Sus scrofa: one gene and its partners. The protein of the gene in region 1 purifies or fractionates together with the protein of each later gene. This does not show direct contact. Links are inferred from orthologs where the notes say so. Each region holds a gene or a part of one and is shown on either strand. Other genes may lie near its edges. The genes, in order: PPP6C, ARHGEF2, ANKRD44, ANKRD52, TIPRL, PPP6R2 and PPP6R3.

Region 1 (4,059 bases):
GATTCTTAAATATGCATTGCTAGAACTCCCTTACTCGGCTTTTTTTTTTTTTTTCCCCAGCACCTACCACTTTCTAATATACTCTACGGTTATTTACTATAGTTATTATTTACTGTCTCCTTTACTAGAATATAGCTACAGTTAGAGGATAGGGATCTTTGTTTTGCCTGCTGAATACCCCAAGCATAACTGTACTTGGCATTTAGTTAAGTGTTCAATTAATAGCTGTTGAGTGGGAGTTCCTGTGTGGCTCAGCCTAGGGTAAGGAACTCAACTAGTATCCATGAGGATGCAGAATTGATCCCTGGCCTCGCTCAGTGGGTTAAGGATCTGGCATTGCCCTGAGCCCTGGTGTAGGTCGAAAATGTGGCTGGGATCCCAAGTGGCTGTGAGGTAGGCCGGCAGCTGCAGCTCTGATTTGACCCCTAGCCTGGCAACTTCCATATGCCAAAGGTGAGGCCCTAAAAAAAAAGAAAAAGAAAAAGAAAAAGAAAAAAAGCTGTTGAGTGAAGAAATGTTGAAAGTATACTAAGTGCCAGGCTCTGTTTTTGGTGCTGAGAGTACAACAACAACAAAAAACCTCTCAGCTCTCGTGGGACTGAAGTAGACTTAAACCAACCAGACCTATTCCAATCTTGGCTTCCCGACTATTCCCTATTGAGATCAGATTAAGAGTTACATAACCTCTCTGAGCCTTCCTTTCCTATCACTTGTTATGAGGATTACACGGAAAAACAGCATTTGTATAACGATTAGCATAAGAAGTGCTTAGTATTTGGTCCTTTTCTTTCCAGCCTGGAAAGTTGGTAACCTATCTGTCAAGGGTTCAGCCAAGGTTTTCACAGGGCCTTGGAAAGGTGCGAATAGGTTGCTACGATGGCCAGGCTTATCCAATTTTTAACTGAAGACATTCTGGTGAGAGAATGCTTAAGAAGGTCGGCGTGAGAAACTAGGGAATGGCTAGGTAGAGTCACCTACTTCGCTGTTTTGTACCGGAAAAGCCTCGCTGGGTTCCGCAGAGGTGAAAGTCCAGAGGAAGAAAAGAAAAAGAAGACTGTTTGGTACTTTGGAAAACTACAAATCCCAGCAACCCCCGCGGCAGACCACTAAGGGTCTCAGCCGGTCTTGCTCTATGCAAACTGGGGGCCTCTAAGGGCCCGCAACCTGGTTTTAGCCGGCGAGGGCGTGGGGCGTGCCAAGGCAGCGGGGAAAATCGGGTCAAACTTTACGCCGCTGCGCAGACGCCTCTCACAGGCCGGATGTGACGTAGGGAGGGTTCCGGCTTCGGCCTCCGCCGCTGCCGCAGCTAGTAAAGCCGCCGATATCGCCGCCGCTGTCGGGGCTTGTTATTTCTAAAATGGCGCCCCTGGACTTGGACAAGTATGTGGAGATAGCGCGTCTATGCAAGTACCTGCCCGAGAACGACCTGAAGGTGAGCCCGGCCGAGGCGGGAACGCTGCTTTCGGGGCTTGTCCCTTCCGGCAGTGGGGCGCCCGCCGGCCCGCCCTTCCTCTCTCCGCGGGACCCCCGGCGGGATCCTGTCCCGTCACGGTGGAAGGCCTAAAGCGGTGCAGAGGGACCCGGTCCGACTGGACGTCACGCGGGGAGAGGAGGGGAGCCCGAGTCTGCCGAATGCTGTCCCGGTTCCCTCCGCGGGGTTCCCGAGGGATGTGTCACGGCCTCTGCCCCAGAGTTGCCGCTCCTGGCCTTGGGGCTGCCCCAGGGCACCGAGCCCTAACAGCTTTGCTTGCAAGACCCCCTTTCCTTCAGCTCGACCCCCGGTCTTCCGGAGTCCGAGCCGGGCCCCCGCGGGGAGTGGCCTGGGTTCATTCCTCCAGGAGCGGGACGGGAACGCGGGGTGCCGGCGTCTGACAGGAGATGCCGCCGGCCGCCGGCACGCGGCCCCAGTGTGTTTCTTTCCCTGAGAAATGAGGGTGGGAAAGGGCTGATGGGGGTCCGAGCGGTTTGATGGTGATGCGAGAGGACGTCAAGTCGTCCCTCTTCCGGACCGCTCACTTCTCCCGGTTGCTTTTTAGGAGTGTTGGTCTTCTTTCGCTAATTACAATATGACCCTGTTTTCGAGTACACTGTTGAGCTAATTTATGTGCATAAAGTAGTGGGCTCTCGATAAATATACTTTTCTGTCCTTTAAGGTGTTTCCCCCAAGTCCCTTCTTAGCTCTTTTCGTTTTCTTGGTTTTTCAAAGGAGATGAGTCGTTCCTTGTACTGCCGAGTCCGGGTAACAATAAATGTGTGTTTGGGTAAAGAAATGAGTGGAAGAATAAAGAGAGATAAGTCTTTGGGATACTGCTTTTTAGACAGGTGTTGCAATGCGTTTGTTAAAACCAGTGCTCAAGCGTCTAGCAGTGTTTGAGCCATTAGTACTAGCGCATGTTTTATGTGTTAAGCTAACCTTGATTTGATGTGTGGAGCATGCACAAACTGTTGATACTTTTGAGTCCTTTTTATTCTTGAAGCTCTGGGTTTAACGTAATTTATTATTGTCCATTAACTTTTTTTCCCCTTAAGGAAGATATTACTGGTTTTTTCTTTTCCTCATAGATACTGGTCGGCTTCGTTATCACTGAGCCATAGCGGGAACTCCCTTGGATTTTCTTTCGACTTCTTAGTTTGATAAACATTAAGTTTCCTTCCCAACCTAAGAAAATATAGTTTTTAAACCATATCATTTCTCTTTGCAACACAGTTGGACTGCACTTAGTGTGTATCTGTTCTTCCCCCCCGCCCCCCCCCCCCCCCGGCCAACTACTAGAAAAAAAAGAGTTCTGATTTTTTTCTATGTAAGTGGAGGCTTCTCTTCTTTGTCTTGGAAATGTTTTTATCAGATTAATTTTCTTGTACTGCATCTCTTGTGTATTTAAAGAAATTTAATTTTATACCTCTTGGCATGAAGTACAAACTAAAATTAAGCCTGCCAAGAAAGTATTCCAGGAGCACTTTTTCTGAGGCGTTAAAGCCAAAGTAAAATATTCCATCAAAGGAACGAAATAAATAATTGGGGCCACTTAATGATCATCATGGAAAAAGATTTGTTCTGGTAGAAAAAGACAGAAATTTACCTGTGTTTTAAATTTAGTTGGAGGTACTAAATGAAATAAATGCGGGGAGTTCCTGTTGTGGCTCTGTGCAAACGAATCTTATTAGCATCCATGAGGACAAAGGTTCGATCCCTGGCCTCGCTCGGTGGGTTAAGGATCTGGTGTTGTCATGAGCTGTGGTGTAGGTTACAGATGTGGCTTGGACCTCACGTTGCTGTGGCTGTGGCATAGGCCAGTGGCTGCAGCTCCTGTTCGACCCTTAGCCTAGGGACCTCCATATGCTGCGGGTGCGGCTCTAAAAAAAGAAATGCGTAGGATGTTCCAGATCTAATCATGAAATCTCTATATTTAAATTGGAAGTGGTTAGATTGCTAGTCCTTGAACAAATCTACTTAACTGTTTTGAAGGAATAAGGATGATATGTGCAAGTGAGTGGACCAAAGCATAATCTTTCTTAAAAAAGACTTCATGTGATTCTCATCCACGGTAAATATCTCACAGTGTATCATAGAAGGTGTAGATTCCATTTGTGGCCAGTTGGAAGAATGAATGATAAAATGCAGGTTTATTGAATATTTAGACTTTAGAATTTTGGCAGAGGAGAGATTCTATGACTTGGAGATTGTCTGATCTCTCTGACAGTTCTCAAAGGTGCCGCGTAAGTAAAGAAGTTGCACACTGAGTTGGTGTTCATTTTTTTTTACTGAAGAACTGAAGATGGTTTCTGTGGTAGGAGTTTGGAGAATATTAGTGTCTATCTCATGTAATACAGGGAAAAATAACCACCTTTATGGATAATAGTTAATGTAATCTTTTGGAGACTCACTTTTATGTTTAGTTTGAGCCATCTCTGAGTTTTTCATATAAGGCCACCTGCTCTGCAAAGTCATACCTGTTTGAAGTGCCTTCGTAAAGCTTCAAAGAATCCTCCCTTGCTGTTTTCTGAGATTTGATGAACTACTATCTCACCTCCTTATTCAGCCTCTATCTGATCTTATAG
Region 2 (3,500 bases), on another chromosome or scaffold:
GCCAGCTGTTAGAACGCCGACGCCAGGCTCTGTGCCCTGGCAGCCCCCGGAACTTTGTCATCCATCGCTTGGGTGACCTTCTCATCACCCAGGTGAGAAAAGACAAGACCCATGGGCAACATTCCTGGGAGGAGGTGTGACTAAAGTCATTTTTCAGCTCCAAACTCTAGGGGGTGGAGCCAGGGAGAGCTGGAGAGGCTTGGAAGCCAGCCTGTATGGCAGGAGACTAGAGGGTGTGGGGGATAAGAGGTGGCTTTGGGGGAAATGCTGACCCAGCCTTGCTCCCCCAACTTCTAGTTCTCAGGTCCCAGCGCAGACCAGATGCGGAAGACCTATTCGGAGTTCTGTAGCCGCCACACCAAGGCCTTAAAGCTCTATAAGGAGCTCTATGCCCGAGACAAACGCTTCCAGCAGTTTATCCGGGTGAGCAACCCTCTCCAGGACCCAAACTCAGAACCTCCTCCGGTGGTCCAGCCCTTGTAGACACATCTGCCTGTGGATCCTGTCAACAGCCCCCCATAGCAGTAGACCAAGTGCTTTTGCTACTTTGAGCCTCATGATAAACCCATGGCCTTGTCCTCCCCATTTTCCAGTCTCAGTCACCTATGCCAGCCAGCGCATGGTAAATGGCCAAGCTAGGGCCCACACCAGGGCTTAGGCTCCAAGTCCAGGGTTCTTTCTGTTGTCCTCGGCTCGGGTCCCACCTTGGCCCTGAGCCCTGCCTCTGTCCTTCTAGAAAGTGACCCGCTCAGCCGTGCTGAAGCGCCATGGGGTACAGGAGTGCATCCTGCTGGTGACTCAGCGCATCACCAAGTACCCGGTGCTCATCAGCCGCATCCTGCAGCATACCCACGGTGAGAGGGAGGACCCGGGAGGAAAGAAGATGGGGAGAGGGCTCTCTGGGGTGAGAAGCGGCTTGGGATAACCAAGAGGAGAGATAGAGTCAGCTGTGGGACCGTGGGCCACCTCTGATGGTGAGGTGAGATGGGTTGGAGTATGGTGGCTGGCATGAAGCTGGCTAAGCCACTTCTCCCTCACGCCGACCCGTGGTGCCAGGGATCGAGGAGGAGCGCCAGGACCTGACGACGGCACTGGGGCTGGTAAAGGAGCTGCTGTCCAATGTGGACCAGGATGTACATGAGCTGGAGAAGGGGGCCCGCCTGCAGGAGATCTACAACCGCATGGACCCCAGGGCCCAGACCCCAGTGCCTGGCAAGGGCCCCTTTGGCCGAGAGGAGCTTCTGCGGCGCAAGCTCATTCACGATGGTTGCCTGCTCTGGAAGACAGCAGCGGGGCGCTTCAAAGGTCAGTGGTCAGCTTGGCAGACCAGGGAAGAGTCTGCGAGTCCACGATCAGATTTAGAGAGGGAGAAGCATCCAAACACTTAGGACTTTTTTTTTTTTTTTTTTTGGTCTTTTGTCTTTTTAGGGTTGTACCTGTGGCATATGGAGATTCCCAGGCTAGAGGTTCAATCAGAGCTATAGCTGCCAGCCATAGCCACATCAACATGAAATCCCAGCCACATCTGTGACCTACAACATAGCTCATGGCAATGCGGGATCCTTAACCCACTGAGCAAGGCCAGGATTGAACCTTCGTCCTCCTGGATACTAGTCGGGTTCGTTAACCACTGAGCTACTCCTCCTTCAGGACTTATTTATGCAGCCCTATATCCTGGGTGAAACCTCATGGGAGGAAAATACATGTTCTCTGTTGCAACAAAAGTCTGAATTCTGGATTTAATTTCATGGGCCATACAAGGACTTCCTTAGTGATTTTTTTTTTTTTTTTTTTTTGGTCCTTGTATACCCAGAAACCTACCAGTTTTGATCAGGAAGACAGAGAAATTCCAGGGTCAGAGATCAGGGTTGATTCTTCCAGCTTGAATCCCAGCTGCTGGGGCTGGGGAATGGGCAGGAGTTTTGGGAGCACAGTTGGGGAAGGCCCAGGGGAGGGGGCGGAGCCCAGGGAGGGGCCAGCAGGGTAGAGAAGAGAGTACAGAGGGGGCATGTTGGGGCAGGGCATGCTTTCCCAGGCTCTCTTCCCAGACTGCTCTGGCCAAGTCTTTCCTACCTAAATCAAGACAAGAGAGTTGCAGTTTTCGGCTTTGGGGGTGAGGAATGAGGGGCAGAAGTAACCAGTACTACCTGAGACCAGAACCTGCCTGCACCTCTGTCCCATATCATGAAATCCCCACTCCATGGGCTTGAGTATCACAGGCTTCACCAGCCACTTTCCTTCATCCCTTTCTCTCCTCTCATCCCTCCCACGCAGAAGCTAAGAATATAAACTCTGGGGGGGATTAAAAATAGCAAGGCTGGAGAGCTTTATTTCTGAAGCATTTAGTGAAAGCCCTCCCCTTCTGTGTGCCCACTATTAGATCTCCAAGGGCAGAGTGAGTGTGTTTGCTTGACTGTGCTATCCAGTTTTCATGGGCTTGACCTTTGTTTCCCCCAAGTCTTTTTTTTTTCGGTCACGCCTGAGGCATGCAGAAGTTCCAAGGCCAGGGATCAAACTGGTACCACAGCAGTGATAATGCCAGATCCTTAACCCTTCTTGGAGGCACCAGAGAACTGCCCCCTAAGTTTTAAATTGAGAGCACAGGACCTCGTAGGATCTTGAGAACCTGGAAGGTGGGGTAGAGAAGGAGCATGAAAGCAGGGCCTGCTGAGGTTGGAGACTGGGATTGTTCAACGGTGGGAGAGGGGGATAAGGAAGCTAGCTGCTCCCCTCCCTGCGGAGGAGCACAAAATGAGAAGTAGGACTACGCCAGGGTAGGGGCAGGGGTGGTGGGATAGGGTGACCTTAGGCCAAATGTCCAGAAAGGTCTTATGATTGTTGTTTGACATGGAACTGAAAGGCTTAAAAACAGTAGTCCCTCCTACTGTGGATGGAATCCTTTTACCCTCACATAAATTCTGGACCTTTGCACACTGAAAATTACACGTGTGTTGTATGAATATGTAAAATTGCTTATGCAACTTTGGAGGCTTTGCAGAGCCCTGAAGCCCAACAGTGGACATCCTAGGGATCTGTAGACCCCAGGTTAAGAAACCTGCATCCCCTGGATAGAGTGTTTTTTTCAAAGGCATTGGGTGATTGCTTATGGGCGCTTTAGCCCAAGAAGCTGTTTTATCTAATGGCACATACATTTTTCTCCCAATTCCTGAGCTGTAAGAATGGATCAGGGGGAGTCTGCAAAGGTAGAGGGAGCAAACCAGAGGCAGAGAGATCAGGAAGAGGGGAATCAGGAGCTCTAGCCTGACGGGGTAGACCTGGTTCCTGAGAAAGGGAAACAGCTGCTCACACCCTCCAATGCTGAGTGTTCTCCTGCCTTTATCCTCCTGTCAGATGTGCTGATGCTGCTGATGACAGATGTGCTGGTGTTTCTCCAGGAGAAGGACCAGAAGTACATCTTTCCTGCCCTGGTGAGACCTTCCACCTTCTCCTTTCTCAGCACAGACAAGTGTTTCAGGCCCCTTCTTGATTTCCTACTCCAG
Region 3 (2,909 bases), on another chromosome or scaffold:
CACGACTTGATGGCAATCAGCCGTTTCCCCACATCTTTTACCTTTAGGATTTGGGACTTTGGCTGATGGGGTTGCTATTTTTTTTTTAATTCCGTTTAAGTTTCTTTTTTTTTTTTTTTTTTTTTTTTTTTTTTTTTTGTCTTTTTTTTGCTATTTCTTTGGGCCGCTTCCGCGGCATATGGGGGTTCCCAGGCTAGGGGTCTAATCGGAGCTGTAGCCGCCGGCCTACGCCAGAGCCACAGCAACGCGGGATCCGAGCCGCGTCTGCAACCTACACCACAGCTCACGGCAACGCCGGATCCTTAACCCACTGAGCAAGGGCAGGGACCGAACCCGCAACCTCATGGTTCCTAGTCGGATTCGTTAACCACTGCGCCACGACGGGAACTCCCTAAGTTTCTTTTAAATGATAGCACAGTCACAACCATTGCTTTCCCATGTCTGATCTACTCAGATGATTCCATTTCTTTAGAACCAGTTGCCTGGTGTGTGCTTCATATAAAATGCATATAACGTGACCAAACGGTGTTACTGACTCCCACAGACACCTGGATCTCAGTATCCTTTCTAACCTGATACACGAATACCTACAGTGGAAAGTCATTGTTCTCAGAATGAGAGTGCCTGGCCCCTGCCCGAGGCACGTGGTGTGTGCGTGTGCTCTCAAGGGAGAATGTCTTTTTTGATTGTCCTGTGGCTGTTCTTTGTGGAATTGTGCCCTACCCCCGCCCCCTCGTGTTTCTGTTCACTAGATGAAGACTGGAATTCTGCCTAACTTCAGATAATACAGTGCTTGTTGTTGTCATGTAAGCCGGGGGCGGGGGAGAACCAAACCAACCCCCACCCCCGATCCAATGTCTCCCCCTCCCGGTCCCCTCCAGCCTCGCCCCAAGCATGACTTGCGGGAAGTTAACTCCTCTTGCCTGGCATGATTGCTAACTTGACATACATCTTGAGATGTACTGCGGGATGCTCACGCCGCACTGGACTGCCCAGACTAACCACTGCCTTGTCTGCATTTACGCCCAGGTCATACCCCGGCCCTGGCTTGTGCTCCTAACAAAGAGGTGGCTGACTGCCTGGCCCTCATTCTGGCTACCATGATGACTTTTTCTCCTTCCAGCACAATGACGGCTGTCAACTTCGTTTGTTTTAAAAAAGACAGTTTGAGCAGGACGACCCTCTCCAACCTGGGTAGCATGGTTAGCCTGTGCAGTAACAACGTAGGCTCGGAGGATGGGTACAATGAAAATGATTCTGATTCGGAAACGTTCTGACTTTGGACTGTAGCAGCTTTTCCTTGATCACCCATGTTGGAGCAAGGGAAAGAAGTTCGAATTCCAGGTTAATGTTGTGTTCCAGTATTATTATGGGCCCAAGCTTCCAGAAGCCAGTAGAGAAGGAATTCATCAAACCGAGGGAAGGCAGCTAGGCCGTAGGGCAAAGCACCCATGCAGATGGGCCTCAATTTTGATTTGTTTCATGTTTTCCTTAGATCCAAGATACTTCTATGGAAAGTCTACCTCTCATTTTAAGTAAGGAATGAAAAATGCATTTAATTCTTTTTCTTTGAGGATCATGCAATTATTGAGAGGGAGCTGTTCTCTGTAAAGCTGTTTTTTTTTGTTTGTTTGTTTTTTTCATGTACTTACTCAACCGTGAGTTCTCAGAAGTATATCAATGTGACATTCATGACCCCAAGGAGGGGAAGGAAGGGGTGGATAGGAAATGCCTCAAACCTCTTCTCACTTTGATGTTTACCTCCTCACTAGAAGCCAAAGGTAGAGGTGTTCATCTTCAGAAATAATGCCTGTAATAATCTTTTCAAGGGAGTCCAATTATTCATATCCTCTCAACAGTAAGCCCTTAAATATCCAGAACTTCTTTTTGAGGATTTTTGTGACAGTTGCCAGAGGAAGGGAAAAATTCATTGAAAACCAAACTCGCTTTCTTCATTTAACACAAACACAGCACCCAGCGCTCCCCGTAACAAGCCTGCGACTAATTTTAACCTGATTCATTGAGTCCCAATCTCTTTAGTAACATTTCAGGAGAAAAGTGTATTAAACCAAAACCTTGAGACATATGCAGATGTAATATGACCCTTTGTACATCAAAATACTAGTTTTATAAAAGCCTAAGAACCATCAGTGTTGTTCCTCAAGAGTAAAATGTGAAATGAGCTCCCCAGTCAAGGTCATGACCAATGAGTGGAAATGTGACGACCAAAGGGAACAAAGAAAGTGGAAACATGGGGTAGACATGGGTGATATGGAAATTAAAACCAGTTAAAGTTGCTTGAGGATGAAATCACCATAGTGAATACTGTGCTCCCTCTGCCAAAGCTTCTAGGTCAAATGGACCCCGTTTCGCACCTGGATTAGCTGTACAAAAAGAAGAATGAGACTCTTTAAATTATGCAATTAAACACGCACACATATGTGTATGTGTATATATGTCTGTAGTTCATCAGCCAGCTATACATGAGGACCAAAATGCTTCAATCTAAAATGGAAGATTTAAATTGTTTTCCTTCAAAATGAAAATGAGAACTGAAATAGCTTTTCTATGGAGTTAAAAATGTAATCTTTTTGTGTAACAGTCTTTGTTGTGTTTTATATTTCTTACGACACAGATTTCTAGTTGATGGCTTAACATTTGTAACTGGTAATGTGTTGACCATGGCTTATTTTTTGCCAAACTAGAGAAAATGTTCCTATACTTTTGATGTAAATGTGTTTATATTTATTTGAAACAAACAAATGCCCGAGGAAACATCCATTGTTTATTCTCTGTTTTAACTGCTATGTGTCTTACTTGGAATAATGACAAAGCCGGAAAATACAAATACTGCTGGCTTGCAGTCCTGGGGCCAAGCCCAGCATTTCCACTGCTGAGGTTTCCATCCG
Region 4 (4,219 bases), on another chromosome or scaffold:
GCCTCAGCTGTGGCATATAGAGGTTCCCAGGCTAGGGGTCCAATCGGAGCTACAGCTGCAAGCCTATACTACAGCCATAGGAACACAGGATCTGAGCTGTGTCTGTGACCTACACTACAGCTCACAGCAACGCCAGACTAACCCACTGACTGAGGCCAGGGATCGAACCAGCAACCTCGTGGTTACTAGTTGGATTCGTTTGCACTGTGCCACAATGGGAACTCCAGCAATATTTCTGCCTTGATAGGAGGCCAACAAGATATTCTTTCTAAAAGTGTTCCTTTCTTAAACACATGATTTGCTGACCTCTAAACAGGACACTGTTTAATTTAATGTATTTATTTATTTGACTGGGCCTATGGCATGCCAAAGTTCCAAGGCCAGGGATTCAACCCAGGCTACAGGAGCGATCCAAGCTACAAGCAGTGACAACCTGCTTAATCCTCTAAGCCATCAGGGAACTCCCTACCTTTCATAAATCGTATCCGTTTTTCAATATCCACTTTTCTTCTTCCCTCTTTTTCCCTTTCTGGGAAAGGATAACCTCCATCCAAATCTTGTCTGATTGGCAGCTCTCTGGTCTCTTTCATGGAAGAGGGGAAGCACCTCATCCCTTTTCTGGAGAGAAACCATCGAGACTTTTATTTATTTTAATTTTTTATTATAGTTGATTTACAATATTCTGTCAATTTATGCTGTACAGCAAAGTGACCCAGTCATTCCATTGAGCCTTTTAAAGTGTAGCCACCCTACCACCTTAACCTGGCAATGAGCAATTAGAGAATTGAAAAGGCCCCTTCTGTTGCTCTTGGAGGCCGTCTTCGGCTGCCAGCTGTCCTAGACTCTTTGTGGGGTTTTCTGTGGCTGAAAGTCCTCGGTTTTATTTCTCTGCCATTTGGGCAGTTTTGCTTTCCTTTCTACTCAATTCTTGTCACCGCCGGTGGAGATACGCACCTTCCCTCCCTCTGGGGCCATTGCCATACATAATCCCCCGATCTCTACACCCCTGCCTCACCAAGCCTGTGTGTGTGTTTGGGGGGGGGGTGGATTTTGAGGTGTGTAATCCTGGGACCGGAGGAGTTTGCTCCAGCGGAGGCATTGTGGGCTCGGTGAGATCTGGCCAGCCGTTTGGTCCTCAGGTTGCAAGGTACTGCAGCAGGGCCAAGGCCAGAATTGCCGCTGGAGTTTCGCAGTGAATCCTTCGGGTCTCCAGACTGGAGCCAAGAGCACTGCGCTCCGGGCCTGGGGGAATCGGGGACCCGGAGAGCGAGGTCGGGGGCGCCGGGGCTGCTCAGGCAGCCAGGGCGGGGCGGAGGGCGACGCGGACCCAGTCTGCCTGCGCGGCAAGTGCTCTGCGGCCGGGCCCAGGACGGCCGCCAGGGAGCGCTGCGGGCTCCCGCTCGCCCGCCCCCCGGTAGGCGGGGCCGCGCTCTCCCCGCAGCCGCCGCCGCAACCGCCGCCTGGGCCGCCCCGTGTCCCCGGTGGAGCCGCCGCCGCCGCCGCCGGGAGCTCGATGCGGACGGAGCCCGGGCCGGGCCATGGGGATCCTCAGCATCACGGACCAGGTCAGCCCTCCTGCCCTTACTCGCTTCCTCCTTCCAGGGCCCGGCGCCGCCGCCACGCGAGCCCGGGGATGTGCGGCCTAGGTTGGGCCCGAGCCCGGGGCTCCCGCCCCGCCCCATGCCGCGGTCCCCTCAGCCAAGCCGGTGTCCTTGGGGGCCTGGCGACCGGCGGAGACGCCGTGGGAGCTCCCTGCAGCCTGGACCCCGGAGCAGAGCCCCTCCAGCGACGCCCCCCCTAAAACCGGGTGTCCCCCGCCCCCCTCCCCGGTTCCGCTCCGGCCCGCTCCCTGAACGCCGGTTCTCCCTGCAGCCGCCCCTGGTCCAGGCCATCTTTAGCCGAGATGTGGAGGAAGTGCGTTCCCTCCTCTCGCAGAAGGAGAACATCAATGTGCTGGTGAGTTGGGATCAGGGAGGATGACGAACCGGTAATCTCGGCCCTGGTGTTCTGGACCCCTCCCCACTAATGGGGCGGCTCCGTGTCTCCTCGGCTCGCGTGAGGCCGCAGCTCTTTCCACCCTGAGACGGGAGACTGCTCTACATTTGGGGATGGAGAGCAGGTCAGGCTTGGAGCACAGACTAGTGGGGCTGAGGATGCCCAGAAACGGTGTTCTCTTCTGAACCATCCGTGTCTGCAGCGCCCCCACCCTCCTGGAAGAAGGAGATTGCTTCGCCGGCCCCTGGCCCAGACCCCTTCACTCCACCCTCCCTAGGTGTTTGCTTCGACCTAGGATCGGGATTCACGAGGCTGTAGAGCCTATGGGAAAAGGTTGTGGGGAAAAGCTTGGAGCACCAAGACGGGCTGAGGTCCTGGATAGTTCCACCCCCACAGCCGCTCCTCTTTTCTGCCTTCCCAGGACCAAGAGAGGCGAACCCCACTGCATGCTGCTGCCTACGTAGGCGATGTCCCCATCCTCCAGTTGCTACTGATGTCAGGTGAACAGTGGGGAGCTGGAAGGTGTGGCACCTAGGGAGGGAATCTGAGGGAGGAGCCCTTTTTTTTCCGTATCCAAGGATTGTCCTCTGGTGCTTGGTCCAGGCAAGGTTCCTTCTCCATCCAGATTCCCTGGCCTGATTACTGGCTTCCTTCCCCACCTGCTCTCCACCTCCCACCAGAAGAGCAAATTATATCCCCACAGGTGCTAATGTCAACGCTAAGGACACACTGTGGCTGACCCCTCTTCATCGTGCTGCTGCCTCCCGAAATGAGGTACTCGCCTCCCTCTTCCTTTCACCCTTCCAAAGAGGATGAGTTGGTTAAAGGTGGAAGATAAGGGTTGGCGCTTCTCCGGTCCTCTGGCCTACAAGCTGGTCTACCCTCAGATGGGGAGGAGACCAGACCTTGGCCCCTCCCTCCTACCCCTAGAACTGGCTGGTAAGGGGGGTGCTGAGTGTTGCCAGCTGATGTGACGTCAAGGGAGAGCTTAGCACTGGGCTGTCAGACTGCAGGGGGCCCTGCTGCCAGGCCTGAGTGACTCATCCCTCCCTGGGGGGCCACCTTGGAGTCCGATCCCCCTCTGGGCACTGAGATTTCTTCCTTGTGATGGAAGGGTGGGGGTGGTGTTCTGTTGCTTCCTCAACAGAATAAAAGTTGGCAGCTCAGGGATCAAACATGTTTCATCTGTTGGGTCCCTCAACCCTGAAGAGTGGGAAAAGGAGACCTTCCTCTTGGTTTGGCAGTCACTTCCCTGGCTCCAGCCACCAGGGGGAGGGACAGAGGCCAGTGGGAATGGGGGTGGTGTGTGACTAGGAGGGGCATTTTAGCCTTGAGTTATGGAGCGGAACCAGTATCTGTTTGCTTACCTAGGTAATGGAATTGATTTTGATGTCTACGGAAGGGCTGACAGGGTGGGGGCTGCTGTTGAGGGCATTAAAGTAGCGGGAATATATTCCTAGAAGTGATGGGGGATTGAGATCCTCTATGTGTAGATTTGCTTGGTAGTGGCTATATATGTGTAGGTGGTGATTTTCAGGATCTAGGTTGGGGAATGGTACCAGGTAGCTTGAGGAAGAGGTCCATATTTTCCTCAGCAAGGTAGGGAAGATTTTAAGCTCTAACAAGATCCAAAAGATGGGAAATAGATGTTGAGAGACTAGGTATGTTGGAAAAACAAAAAGAGACTCTGTGCTCAGGGTGTGGGGAGATGGGACCATAGGTACTGTGCTGACCTGTTCGTCCCTCTGTCTTCTCTCTTATCCCTACCCCTCCACAGAAGGTGCTGGGACTGCTGCTGGCACATTCAGCAGATGTGAATGCCCGGGACAAGCTGTGGCAGACACCATTGCATGTGGCTGCTGCCAACCGGGCGACCAAGTGTGCTGAGGCTCTGGCACCCCTATTGAGCAGCCTCAACGTGGCTGACAGGAGCGGGCGCAGTGCCCTGCACCACGCAGTGCACAGTGGGCATTTGGAGGTGAGGGCCTCTCCAGTGCAGTCCCAGCCTCATGCCTTTTTCCTTTCCTTCCTGCTCACCTTACCCTTCTTCTGAGCCTTCAGGCCTGGGGAGGAGCAGCCCAGATGATACAAACTCTTCAGCTTAAGCACCCAATGAATGATTGGGTTAGATTGAAATTCTTTGGAGTTCCTATGGTGGTATGGCAGAAACGAATCCGACTAGAAACCATGAGGTTGCAGGTTCGATCTCTGGCCTTGTTCAGTG
Region 5 (4,208 bases), on another chromosome or scaffold:
CTAAGAAGAAGGAGTGATTAAATCCAGCTCCAGAGTTCAGAAAAAGCCTTTTGGAGGAGATGTATCATTCCAAGGCAGATCATCCCAGGTTAGGGAAAGGGATGGGGGCTGGAGAATCTATAGTTCTAAAAGGTGCCAGGTTGACTCTGAAATGGGACAGGTCTGAGTATGACAGTTTCAAGCAGATAGAACAGCAAGAGTAAGGGCCCAAAGGTTGGGCTGAGTGCTGGTGAGTAGGGCTGAGAGGGAGTTGAAAATGGGGCCAGAAAGAAAGATTTGGGAGAAGTTCCCATTGTGGCAAAGCGGAAACGAATCCAACTAGTATCCTTGAGGATTCAGGTTTGATCTCTGGCCTTGCTCCAGTGGGTTAAGGATCAGGCATTGCCGTGAGCTATGGTGTAGGTAGCAGATGATGCTCAGATCCAGCATTGCTACGGCTGTGGTGCAGGCTGGTAGGTGTAGGTTGGATTTGACCCCTAGCCTGGGAACCTCCACATTCCTTGGGCACAGACCTAAAAAGCCAAAAAAAAAAAAAAGATTTGATAGACACCCTAAGAGCAAGGGATTTTTTTTTTTTTCTAATTTATTTTGGCCCCGCTGGCATGTGGGAGTTCCCAGGCCAGGAAAGCATACTATTTTAGGCAGCTGAAGCCAAAATCATTAGTTAAGTGGTTTGCCAAGGATGCATAAAACATCATTGTAAAAGATGATTTAGTACGGGTCTAAAGTGCTGTTTCCACTATACCAGATGCTTAGGTGATAGCTAGACCAGGAAAGTCCTGAAATGTCTGAACGATGAATTCTTTTTTTAGGGCCACACCCACGGCATAAGGAGAGTCCCAGGCCAAGGGTCAAATAGGAGCTATAGCTGCCGGCCTATGCCACAGTCACCGCAATGCCAGATCCCTTAACATACTGACTGAGCGAGGCCAGGGATCGAACCCGCAACCTCATGGGTCCTAGTCGGATTAGTTTCCGCTGCGCCACGACAGGAATTCCTGAATGAGGAAATTTTTGATAGGAGTCTTAATCGATAGCAGCTAGATGTCCAATTCTGGGTCACGTAGCTCTTGATGTTGACCTAAGCTCCTGGACTCTTAAGTGATTTTAAAATTTTGGCCTCAATGGGAAAATGTAGGGCATTTCCTCTCTACCCTAATTCACCAACACGCGAGGTAACTCGCTGCTTTGCAAAGTTGGCTAGGATCACGTTCAACTCACCTTTTCCACCGTGGAGCTTCCATTAAACATGCCCTGAGACGACGTCATTGCAGCAGCTCAGGGAGCGGTGCACCCCGACCACACCTCCTGAGTCGAGGCCTCTCCCCTCAGCATTTTCTCACCGCCTTTTTCCCGGTGCGTCTTGACGTAATACGTAGGTCACGCAACCTTGGCAACTGCTCCCGGAAGCAAAACCCGAGGGGCGGAGAAGAAGGTGGAAAGTTGGGCCTGCGTCCGGGTCGGCCGGCAGGGGGCGGGGCCGGGCATGGTAACGGCTGGGAAGCCGAGGGGGCTGGGCCGGAGCAAGGCGGAGGGAGCGGTGTCCGCTACCGCTGTCGCTGCCGCTGCCACCGCTGCTCCAACCTGTTCTGCGTAGCCCACGCGGGCTCCATCGCAGCCATGATGATCCACGGCTTCCAGAGCAGCCACCAGGACTTCTCCTTCGGGCCCTGGAAGCTGACGGCATCCAAGACCCACATCATGAAGTCAGCGGATGTAGAGAAGTGAGACTCCAGGGCTGAGATCCGGGCGCGGGCTGGGGAGCTGGGCCTGCGCGGGAGGCAAGGGCGAGCTCCCCGCAGCCCCAGCCTTCCTCTGGGGCGGAGGCTTGGACGGGACCTTTGAATGGCAACACCAGGAAATATTGCTATCACTGCCTTCTGTCCTTCGGTTCAGGTTTCAGGCGCTGCCTTCGTGAAACTGTCATTCCGCTTGGGTTTGAGCAGAGCATGACTGTTCCGGTGGACTTTCGCCTCCCATGGTTCTCTACCTGCCCCAGCCTGCGCCACCTTTAGACTATTTCTGGGTGGCTGTGACCTCTTTTCTTGGGGTTTAATAACGGAGATGATATATATGCTTGATTTTTAGCTTGTCAGGTGCTATGCCAGGCATTTAAGATACAGAAGACAATCCCGACCTCGAGGAACTCAGTCTTGTGAGAATGACAGTTATAATACAGTGTGAATTGATAGAAGTGTATATACAGGGTTATTCGAGATTATTTAGGGAAACAAGGCATGCGGGAAATTGGGATGTCTGCACTGAATCTTGATAAAGTCGGTGGAATTGGGTGAGGGTGGAAGGCATGTGTAAAGGTGGAGGGCCAGGGAAAGTGACAGCTGTGCCGCGTTTGTGATGCCTGAGCTCGACAGAATTTGGGGGTGACAGGAGACACGTGTAAAGCTGGGAGGTCAGAGAGAGTGGGAGCCTTAAAGCACTGTTTCTGTGTGATTGCAGCATGAAGGATCGGAGGGGGACTGCTGTTGTGAGAAGCCAGAGGCAAGCAGGTCCTTGGGCAGTAAAGATAACTGAGAGAACTTTTATGCCGGGCTAAGGAGTTTTGATTTGGGGGCGGGGGGGCTATGCTCGGGACATGTGGAAGTTCCCTGGCCAGGGATGGAATCCACACCACAGCAGCAACCCAATCCCCTGTAGTGACAGCAGCTGGATCCTTAATCTGCTGCACCACAAGAGAATTTAAGTAGTTTTGAGTTTTATCTGACTACCACTGGGGGTCTTTTTTTTTTTTAAGTGTTTGGCCTCACCTGTGGCACATGGAAGTTCCATGGCCAGGGGTTGCACCATAGCTGTTGTATAGTTATGCTGTAGGCCACAGGGAAAGTCCATGGGTGTCATTTTATAGAAAGGAGCGATATTATCAGATTACACCCTGAAAGAATTCTCTGGAGCTGATGCAGAGGATGGATTGGAAGGATGTAGGCCTGGGTAAGGAGACAGTTGGAAGGGGAGAGAAGAGAGATTTTAGAAGATTAAGTCCCTGAATTTGATGGCTGCTTGATAGGAGGAGGAAGGAAAAAGGAAGAATCTGTACCATTGGCAAGATTTCTGGCTTGCTGTTGCAGGGAAAGCATTGCTATTGGACAAGGTGAGAAACACAGGAGGAGGAGCAGAATGGAGGCATGTGTTGGATAGAAGGTGAGATTAGTTTGTTGAAGAGTGTCTTAGGCATTTATCTTGGAGCTTAAAAAAAGATGACTTGTCCATGATTTAGCTTTGGGAATCATCAGCTTATAGTTGATATACCTGAATACCTGGGAGTGAATTAAAATCATTTGGAAGTCAAACAGAAGAAAAGGAAAAGGTTATGAGATGGGACCCTAGGGAGCACAGGCATTTTAAGATTTAGGTAGAGGAAAGTAACCAGGGAAGAGAGGAGAGTCATGAAAGGATATTTAACTTCCTAATTAAAAAAAAAGGAAACATTCTCACAGTCACTAAGAAAAATTAAGAAAATACAGAAAAGAAAGGAAAAAGAAATCCCTTCATCCTATCACAGTTACTCTGAGTTTTTCGCTCCATGTAACTTTCTCTATTACATATTGCACCACATATTTGTAATTGTGCTATATATGAACTAGTCAGCTTCAAATTATGATTACCCATGTAATTTTCAGACTATTTAAGAGGTACTAGATGGATGGAGAATTTTGTTTTGTTTTGTTTGTTTTTAGGGCTGTACCCTAGGCATGTGGAAGTTTCCAGGCTAGGGGTCCAATTGGAACTGCAGCTGCTGGCCTACAGCAACGCCAGATCCAAGCTCCATCTGTCACTTTCACCGCAGCTCTCTGAAACACCGGATCCTTAACCCACTGAGCGAGGCGAGGGATTGAACCCACATCCTCATGGATACTAGTTGGATTCTTTGTTTTTCAGGGCTGCACCAGCGGCATATGAAAGTTCCCAGGTTAGGGTTCAAACTGGAGCTGTAGCTGCTGGCCTATGCCACAACCACAGCAATGCCAGTTCCAAGCCTCGTCCGCAACCTACACCACAGCCCCACAGCAACGCTGTATCCTTAACCCACTAAGTTAGGCCAGGGATAGAACCCTCATCCTTATGGATATTAGTCGATTCTTAACCTGGTGAGCCACAATGGGAACTCCATGGAGAGTTTTAAGAGAATCAAATTCCAGATCTTGAGAATTCCATCACGGTGCAGTGGAAATGAGTCCTACTAGGAACCATGA
Region 6 (4,265 bases), on another chromosome or scaffold:
GGAACTGCCCCACACCACAGGTATGGCCAAAAGTATACATACACCCACAGGGAGTTTTTGCATTTTAGGGTTTTCTGGGGTTTTTTTTTTTTTTTTTTTTTTGCTTTTTTTGCTTTTTAAGGCCACACCTACAGCATACAGAGGTTCCCAGGCTAGGGGTCTAATCAGAGCTACAGCTGCCGGCCTAAACCACAGCCACAGCAACGCCGGATCCGAGCCACGTCTGTGACCTACACCACAGCTCACGGCAACACTGGATCCTTAACCCACTGAGCGAGGCCAGGGATCGAACCCCTGTCCTCATCAATTCTAGTCGCGTTTGTTAACCACTGCGTCACAGTGGGAACTCCAATTTTTTGCATTTTAGGATGATGGTAACTTCCTCCAAAGAGGTTTTAAGTTTGGTCCCATGGATGTTTGAAGGCATTACCAAACCAGAAAACCTTCAATTCATGTTTCACGTCCTAGAACTACCAGGCAATGTAGACCTGGGCTACACGCCCTTTAAAGGTCCATCCACTGCCACAAGCTTTTTTCCCCCTGCTACGTTTAGTAAAAGATAACCAGGTGGGGGCCGGGATGACGTGAGGAGGTACACTTCCAGTTCACCCTGCCTCCGAGGACGCCGACCGCCAGGCCCCACTTAACCGAGAAGAGCCCCCTTTAAGCTCTCTGCACACTGTGAGAACTGGACATCTCCCCTGCAGAGAACAACAAGGCCTCTGAAATCAAAGCCACACTCTGTCCAGACCAACAAATGTCCTGAGGCCAAGGCAGAGTCCATCCTATCCTGATTAAATCACCTTCTGGGTTATAATTCTGTTACATTTTGGTCTAAAACTTGCCTGCTCTATTGTCAGTCCTTTGGTTTTTCTTTTGGCCACACGTGAGGCACGTGGAAGTTCCCAGACCAGGGATCAAACCCAGGCCCCAACAGCGATAATGCCGAATCCTTAACCGCTAGGCTACCAGGGAACTCCTGGTTTTTTTTCTTGAATGCAACAATTTTAGTTGTTTTTTTTTACAGGGTAAGGAAATGTGGGGTAGTAGGTTGTGCAAATACCCAGCCCAACATTTACCAAAAGCACAGAAAAACTGTGCTGTTCTTCTGCAAATATACCTGACGCACAACATGTACTGAAATGTACATTCTCTCACCACACGGAGGAACTGCTCTGCTCTCTATCGGCCTCTACTCAAGCTAAGGAGACCTAGCTCAACCTCACTTAAGGCTTTTTTGTCTTTGCTGCCGTACAATTTCAATGTAGGAGTGTGAGTTACCTTTTTTTTTTTTTTCCTTTTTGGCCTCCCCAAGGAATTTGGAGTTCCTCAGCCAGGCGTCAGATCCGAGCTACAGTTCGACCTACACCACAGCTGTGGCAATGCCGGGGATCTTTAACCCACTGTGCCAGGCTGGGGATTGAAGCTGCATCCCAGCGCTGCCGACATCACCGCTCCCGTTGCGACACAGGGGGAGCTCGGGGTTTCCTCCTGTTTACACTGCTTAGGACACAGAGTGCTTTCTAAAGCTACGCTCTCTCTCTCTCGCTGAGTCAAAGCTACTAACACTTTGCGTAACGGCTCTCCTCCTCTTCCCACTTTTCCATCCTGGGCTCCAACTGTGTTTTTCAGGACACGCACCTCACCCTCCACTTCTCTGAGTGCCACTTCCCATCTCCCGTCTCCCGGCTGCACCCGGGAGAGCCTCTTTAGGGATATATTCCAGTTCACTACTTCTGCCTTCAGTCATGTTTAATCTGTCTAATCCACAAGTACTGAGTTTTTTATTTCAACTTTTTTTTTCATTTCTGAAAGTTCTAAGTGGATCACTGTGACACTTCGGTTTTCATTACTAATTTTTATTCCATTTTGTATTTCTTTACACACTTCACGCATTATCACATATACTGTGTCTGAGTACTGGACGCCTGCACTCGCTGGGGCACCTAATCATGCCCACTCCGATCACAAGGTGTGTGTGCGTGTGCTCAAGTTTGCTGACATTTAATCAGTGGAGTCCTGAGGGCCTACACTGAGTCTGCTTTGCTCTGAAAAGGATTTACGCTTTCTTCAGCAAGGAGCGAAAGGGTGCTATCTCTTCTTGTCCTCTCGGCCTCTGAGCAGTTAGCTTGCGCCAGGGCACTCACAAGAGGTCGCGCATCTGTCATTTACCCAGCCTCTCAGTGGACGGCAATGGGAGGCCTTTCAGGAGCACCTACCGCTGCAGGAGCACAAGTCCCCCCATCCCACCTGGCAGGTGGAGGCCTTCCCACAGGTAAGGCAGGGCATGGGCCTCTCTACACACGCCCAATGCACCCGTTTTTATCTGGATTACACTTGGGCTTGGAGGGACCAAGGCACTTTTTCGCAACACGGCATCTCAAAACCAGACACAGGAGGGTCAAAAAAACCCCAGGAGTGGCATTCCCACCGTGGAGCAGCTGTGGCCCAGGTTGCAGATGCGGCTCGTATTCCATCCCTGGCCTGGGAACTTTCATAGGCTGCCAGTATAACCAAAAAAGGAAAGAAAACAAAACCCACAAGTCAGGAAACTCTATGCACATCTTCAAAACTGAAATTTTTTGCTGTCATCCATCTCTGAATGTCCACTTATACAGCATATTTACGCAAATTACACAATAAAGTAGAATCAAACAAAAATTATCTTACCTTCCGTGGAAACTTCTTGTTTAAACTTTGTATTTAGGCAAAATATAAAAACATTTGGGATTTTTTCTTGGCGTATATGCAACCTTAAGAAAAATATTTTCACTCAATAGAAGATTTATAATCTCTTCACCTGAAAAATAAGAGGGAAAAAACTTAGGTTCTGCTTTTGTGAAGTTAACTTACCAAAATGCTAAGGAAAAGAAAAACAAGTCGTTGTCTTTACTTACTAATCAAATTTTATAATCAGGGGTCTAGAAACTTCCTTGCGTTTGACTGTTCTAGAGACGGGTACCAATGATACACACCTGTCCTACGTCTGTTAACTATTAACTACCTCAACGGTTAGAATACAAGGACATGAGAAGGCTCTCGGGCCTGAAGGTGTCCAGCTTCATGCCCAGACACTACCATCAGCAGGAAACACAGACCCTGGTGGCAAGGTGACCAGGCCGCTGACCCTGGTCGCGAGGTGACCGGGCAGCTCACTGATGATCCATCGCTACGTCAGAAGAGGAGAACTCCCAAGCGCTCCTGGTGGGTCTCAAAACACCCTTCCAAACAACATGACTAGTGGTCCTTGCTGAGATGACTGCCTTCAAGACATGCAGCAAAAACGAACCAGTAGGGCCCAGAACTGTTTATTTTGTGTTTGCATGGATCATGATTTTTAACTTTTGAAAATTATACTTTAGCAATAAGGAGTTACCATTCTGAAACATAAGAGCTTTATGAGACATAATTATCAAATGTAATATTTAGATCTTGTTTGGGTCCAATTAAAACAGATCGACTAGGAGTTCCCATTGTGGCGCAGCAGAAACAATCCAACTAGGAACCAAGAGGTTGCAGGTTTGAGCCCAGGCCTCGCTCAGTGGGTTAAGGATCTGGCATTGCCATGAGCTGTGGTGCAGGCTGGAAGCTGTAGCTCCGATTCGACCCCTAGCCTGGGAACCTCCATATGCCATGGGTATGGCCCTAAAAAGACAAAAAAAAAAAATCAAAAATAAAAAAATAAAACAAATCAACTGGAAGAGCGTGTGTGTGTGTGTCTTTTGGGGGCAGCACCCAAGCCATATAGAGGTTCCAGGCTAGGGGTTGAATCGGAGCTGTAGCTGCCGGCCTCCACCACAGCCACAGCAACGTCACATCCAAGCCGCGTCTTGGACCCGCACCACTGCTCACGGCAATGCCAGATCCTTAACCCACTGAGCAAGTCCAGGGATTGAACCTGCGTTCTCATGGATGCTAATCAGATTCGTTTCCACTGAGCCACAAGGGGAACTCCTGGAAGAGGGTATTTTTCAAGCTGCTGGAGAAATCTGAATAGGGACTGGTATTAGATGACACTACAATTCTCTTCTAAAATGACATGATAGCTATATTTTTATTTATTTCTTGGCTGTGCCTGCCACACACAGTTATAATACGCATGTTCAAGGACTTAAAGCAGAATAGAGAGAATGAGTGAAAAAGTAAAATCTCAGCAGAGAACTCAAACTACATAGAAAAACAAAAATGACTATTCTACAACTGAAAAAATACATCTGAAGTAAAAATATATACTGGATGAAGTTGATGAAATTGGAGACTGAAAA
Region 7 (3,500 bases), on another chromosome or scaffold:
GGGGTGGCAGGGAGGCTCTCAGGCTTGAAATGAGGCTTTCATTTGGTGGCAGTGGGTGTATGTGGGCAGGTTTCTTGTCTGCCGGTTGTGAAGCCAGTCTTTTGGGGGGGACTTTTGGTTGTTACTTACCCAGAAGCTGACATTTGATGCTTATCACGTTTTATTTTGGTGTATGTGGTAGGGTGCTGTTCTTTTTAAGGGACATGGAAGAATTCATTTACATTGGTGAGTTTGGGAGAAAATAACTTGGCTTTCAGATTTGTTCTTTTGGTCTCGTCTCTTTATTTAGGGGAACATTGCCTTGTTTGAAGCTTGCTGTAAGGAACGAATACAGCAGTTTGACGATGGGGGCTCTGACGAGGAGGACATCTGGGAGGAAAAGCACGTCGCCTTCACGCCGGAGTCCCAGAGGCGATCCAGGTGAAAGATAGTGCGTCGTCGTCGCAGCCACAGCACCCAGTGCACAGAGCAGATGGTCCTTAGGAGACACTGTATCCTCTCCAGACGTGCGCTTGACCGAGAGGCCGGTGGTCCCTCGTGATGAGAAATGCCGTGATTGAGAAACAGGTGTCGCGATCAGTGGGCTGCGGTGTGAGGAGAGCATGAGCAAGCCAAGGAAACCTCCTTGGGAACCCCCGAAGGGAAGACAGTGCTTAGTGTTTAGACGGAGGTCCGGCGCCGCCGTGGGGAGCGACGCAGTGCTTTGGGTGGACGGTCCCTTAGCAGTGGCAACAGCAGCCGTGTGAGGAATCGCTTCCTAGGAAGACTGAACGTCTCCCTGGGAAGGGAAAAGTTGCCTCTAAAAGTTAATTTAACTTGGGGAGACGGCGTCCCGTCGATTGGTATCCATCGAGCCTCTCCCCCCGCCCCCAGTTTCTAAAATTCAGTCGGTCCAGAAACCCCAATTAAAATGCAGAGCTTGTCAGACTGGTTGGAAAATAAGGTCTGACTTATGCTGCCTGTGGGACATAAATTATTTAAAAACTCAAGTTGTAAATTAAAAAAATTCAAACAGGTTAAAGGAAAAGGTAGAGGAATCTGTATGAACATTCAAGTAGATTTAAAGGAAAGGGTGAAGAAAGGGCCACAGAGCGGCGTTAGGAGGGCGTCCGAACAGCCCCAGGTGTCCCACAGCTGCGGGGCTTCCCAGAGCAAAGCTGCTCGAGCTGCGCAGAGAAGCAGGCGGGAAGCGTGTGCCAAGCGAGGCCATACTGGGCCATAGAGCAAGTCTCAGTAAAAAAGTTTCAAGTCATGACTAAATACGCTCTCTGCTCCCAATGGAGTTAAATGAGAAATCAATAAAAGAGCTCTAGAAAGTTCCAGATATGTGGAAACTAAAGAACATGCGATGAAAGAAGAAATCAAAGGGGAAATTACATAGTGTTTTGAATTGAAAGGAAATGAAAACGCCGTCTATCAGAATTTGGAGGTTGTAGCTGATGCAGTACTGAAGGGATCGTATGCTGAAACCTGTACAACGGCTCAGAGAAATCAAGGCTTGAGAAATGTTTATGGACTGGAAGACTTAAGATGACAGTTCTCCCCAGGGTGATTTCAGTTGAGTGCGTTCTCAAAGTCACAACGGCACGGATTTTTGGTATTGACAAGTAGATTTTTAAACTCGTATTGAAAATGCGAAGAACCTGAAATAGCCAGAACAGCTTTGGTAAATAACAGACTTGAGGTGTTCACACTGCCTGTTTTCACTGTGCAGTGATTGAGACAGGGTCCTCCTTCAGGCAGGGGCCAGGGCGGGGACAGGATAGAGAGCCCCCAAACAGGCCTGTGCACGCGTGCGTGGGGCCCTTGGTGTGTGGTGGGAGGGGCAGAGGCTGTGCCGTGGAGAAGGATAGCGTTTTGAAAAACGGGTGCTGGAGCAGTTGGATGTCAGCCTGTGAATCAGGGAATTTGGTCCGTAGCCAACGTGGATACACGTTAACTGAGAGTGCGTCTTAGACCGAGGGTGCAATGTAAAACTGGAAAATGTTTCCTAGGAGCCCTTCGTGTCAGGCAGAGATTTCCAGGCTACAGCACCAGAAGCACCTGCCTGAGAGGAAATTTTGATAACTTAAGCTTTATCAAAATTAAACCCGTTATTTTTCGAAGACACTTGAGAGAATGAAAGGACGTAGCATACGTTAAGAGAAAGCCTTGGCACATCACATGTCTGATGAGAGATTGCCAGGTAGAGGATATAAAGAACTCTCAAAACTCTAGTCACAAAAAAATGATGGGAGTTCCCGTCATGGCTCAGTGGTTAATGAATCTGACTAGGAACCACGAGGCTGCGGGTTCGATCCCTGGCCTTGCTCTGTGGGTTAAGTTGCCGTGAGCTGTGGTGTAGGTTGCAGACGTGGCTCGGATCCTATGTTGCTGTGGCTCCGATTTGATCCCTGCCCTGAGAAATCCCATATGTCGTGGGTACAGCTCTTAAAAAAAAAAAAAAAAAAAAAATGGCTAAAGGTGTGAAAGACACTCGAGAAAAGAAGGTAAGCAGGTGACCAAGGGCCCTTGAAAAGAAGCTCATCTCCTAGGCCCTCAGGGCGGGCAGACCCACCGCCAGGGCCGCCGCCACACACCCGCCGGAGGGCGCTGGGTTAGCTTGTGACCTCTGTTCTCCACGCAAAGCCCAGGAGGTAGAGCCGCTGATGACCAGGCTTCGTCTTAGCAGGGTGCCAGGCAGGCAGGTGTGACCCAGGTGAAGCGTGGCACAGTTTGTGTGGTTGCATAACTCGAGGTCTTTGAACGTAGTGGGTGGCCGGTGTGCAGCATCACACGTCTTGGTCCTTCTTTCTTAGCTCGGGGAGCACAGACAGTGAGGAGAGCACGGACTCTGAAGAAGAAGATGGAGCAAAGCCGGACTTGTTTGAACCCAGTGGCGCCAACGCGGAGGACAAGATGGAGGTGGACTTGAATGAGCGTAAGTCGCCTTTCTCTTCTGTGCCAGTGCCTGAGTGTCGGACACGGACGTTCCAACCCGGCCCCCTGGCCCGCGGCGTCCGAGTCGCGCTCTGAAGGAGCAGGCGGTCCTCTGAGTCCTCAAAGCGGTGAGCCTCAGGGACCGGGCCTCGGGGGGAGCGCGTCGCGCCTCTGATGGGAGCGCGTCTGTCTGCAGCGGAAGCCCTCGGGGGAGAGCCTGGCTGGGGACAGCGCGCGGGCACGTCTGCCCCCGGCGTGGAGACGGGGTCCTGCGGCCGAAGGGGGAGACCAGGGACCCCGGAGCCGTGAGGACACGCTGCGCTCTTTAGACTCGGGACAGCGGAGGAGCTTGACAGTTTCGGGCGGGGTCCTGAGCCTGTCTGAATCCCGTGATCCTAAGACTGGTTTAGCCAAGGGCTAGTGGATATTTTGTTGTTTGTTAGGAAGGCTTGCGTTGCTGGCCTTTGAAAAAAATACGTTAACTTCTAAAAGCTCGGGTAAATTTTTATGTGAAAGAGCCGTGCGGGTTGATACCGGCCTTGCTTCAAAACTGGCAGTGCTTCCTGTTACCCAGGAAGGCC

The links.
Region 2: the proteins of PPP6C (region 1) and ARHGEF2 purify together in Homo sapiens (affinity purification with mass spectrometry; 4 studies listed by BioGRID and IntAct, with this or other methods). This does not show direct contact. The link is inferred for Sus scrofa from reciprocal best matches to the Homo sapiens genes PPP6C and ARHGEF2.
Region 3: the proteins of PPP6C (region 1) and ANKRD44 purify together in Homo sapiens (affinity purification with mass spectrometry; 5 studies listed by BioGRID and IntAct, counting the BioPlex papers as one, with this or other methods). This does not show direct contact. The link is inferred for Sus scrofa from reciprocal best matches to the Homo sapiens genes PPP6C and ANKRD44.
Region 4: the proteins of PPP6C (region 1) and ANKRD52 purify together in Homo sapiens (affinity purification with mass spectrometry; 6 studies listed by BioGRID and IntAct, with this or other methods). This does not show direct contact. The link is inferred for Sus scrofa from reciprocal best matches to the Homo sapiens genes PPP6C and ANKRD52.
Region 5: the proteins of PPP6C (region 1) and TIPRL purify together in Homo sapiens (co-immunoprecipitation; 4 studies listed by BioGRID and IntAct, with this or other methods). This does not show direct contact. The link is inferred for Sus scrofa from reciprocal best matches to the Homo sapiens genes PPP6C and TIPRL.
Region 6: the proteins of PPP6C (region 1) and PPP6R2 purify together in Homo sapiens (affinity purification with mass spectrometry; 9 studies listed by BioGRID and IntAct, counting the BioPlex papers as one, with this or other methods). This does not show direct contact. The link is inferred for Sus scrofa from reciprocal best matches to the Homo sapiens genes PPP6C and PPP6R2.
Region 7: the proteins of PPP6C (region 1) and PPP6R3 purify together in Homo sapiens (affinity purification with mass spectrometry; 10 studies listed by BioGRID and IntAct, with this or other methods). This does not show direct contact. The link is inferred for Sus scrofa from reciprocal best matches to the Homo sapiens genes PPP6C and PPP6R3.

Annotation. Positions count from the first base shown.
Region 1 is NC_010443.5:265,895,347-265,899,405, reverse strand, and holds the start of PPP6C (serine/threonine-protein phosphatase 6 catalytic subunit), read left to right. Parts: upstream 1-1,259; 5' UTR 1,260-1,357; coding exon 1,358-1,432; intron 1,433-4,059.
Region 2 is NC_010446.5:94,067,891-94,071,390, forward strand, and holds part of ARHGEF2 (rho guanine nucleotide exchange factor 2), read left to right. Parts: coding exon 1-92; intron 93-297; coding exon 298-423; intron 424-736; coding exon 737-854; intron 855-1,056; coding exon 1,057-1,305; intron 1,306-3,351; coding exon 3,352-3,428; intron 3,429-3,500. UniProt on the Homo sapiens protein: Activates Rho-GTPases by promoting the exchange of GDP for GTP.
Region 3 is NC_010457.5:100,870,878-100,873,786, reverse strand, and holds part of ANKRD44 (serine/threonine-protein phosphatase 6 regulatory ankyrin repeat subunit B), read left to right. Parts: intron 1-1,029; coding exon 1,030-1,277; 3' UTR 1,278-2,345; coding exon of another isoform or gene 2,346-2,404; 3' UTR 2,405-2,909. UniProt on the Homo sapiens protein: Putative regulatory subunit of protein phosphatase 6 (PP6) that may be involved in the recognition of phosphoprotein substrates.
Region 4 is NC_010447.5:21,654,290-21,658,508, reverse strand, and holds the start of ANKRD52 (serine/threonine-protein phosphatase 6 regulatory ankyrin repeat subunit C), read left to right. Parts: upstream 1-1,419; 5' UTR 1,420-1,538; coding exon 1,539-1,565; intron 1,566-1,872; coding exon 1,873-1,956; intron 1,957-2,416; coding exon 2,417-2,495; intron 2,496-2,698; coding exon 2,699-2,769; intron 2,770-3,772; coding exon 3,773-3,973; intron 3,974-4,219. UniProt on the Homo sapiens protein: Putative regulatory subunit of protein phosphatase 6 (PP6) that may be involved in the recognition of phosphoprotein substrates.
Region 5 is NC_010446.5:82,791,966-82,796,173, reverse strand, and holds the start of TIPRL (TIP41-like protein), read left to right. Parts: upstream 1-1,408; 5' UTR 1,409-1,620; coding exon 1,621-1,724; intron 1,725-1,771; exon of another isoform or gene 1,772-3,156; intron 3,157-4,208. UniProt on the Homo sapiens protein: May be a allosteric regulator of serine/threonine-protein phosphatase 2A (PP2A). Isoform 1 inhibits catalytic activity of the PP2A(D) core complex in vitro. The PP2A(C):TIPRL complex does not show phosphatase activity.
Region 6 is NC_010447.5:338,728-342,992, forward strand, and holds the start of PPP6R2 (serine/threonine-protein phosphatase 6 regulatory subunit 2), read right to left. Parts: upstream 2,801-4,265; 5' UTR 2,671-2,800; intron 1-2,670. UniProt on the Homo sapiens protein: Regulatory subunit of protein phosphatase 6 (PP6). May function as a scaffolding PP6 subunit. Involved in the PP6-mediated dephosphorylation of NFKBIE opposing its degradation in response to TNF-alpha.
Region 7 is NC_010444.4:4,411,922-4,415,421, reverse strand, and holds part of PPP6R3 (serine/threonine-protein phosphatase 6 regulatory subunit 3), read left to right. Parts: intron 1-289; coding exon 290-420; intron 421-2,798; coding exon 2,799-2,920; intron 2,921-3,500.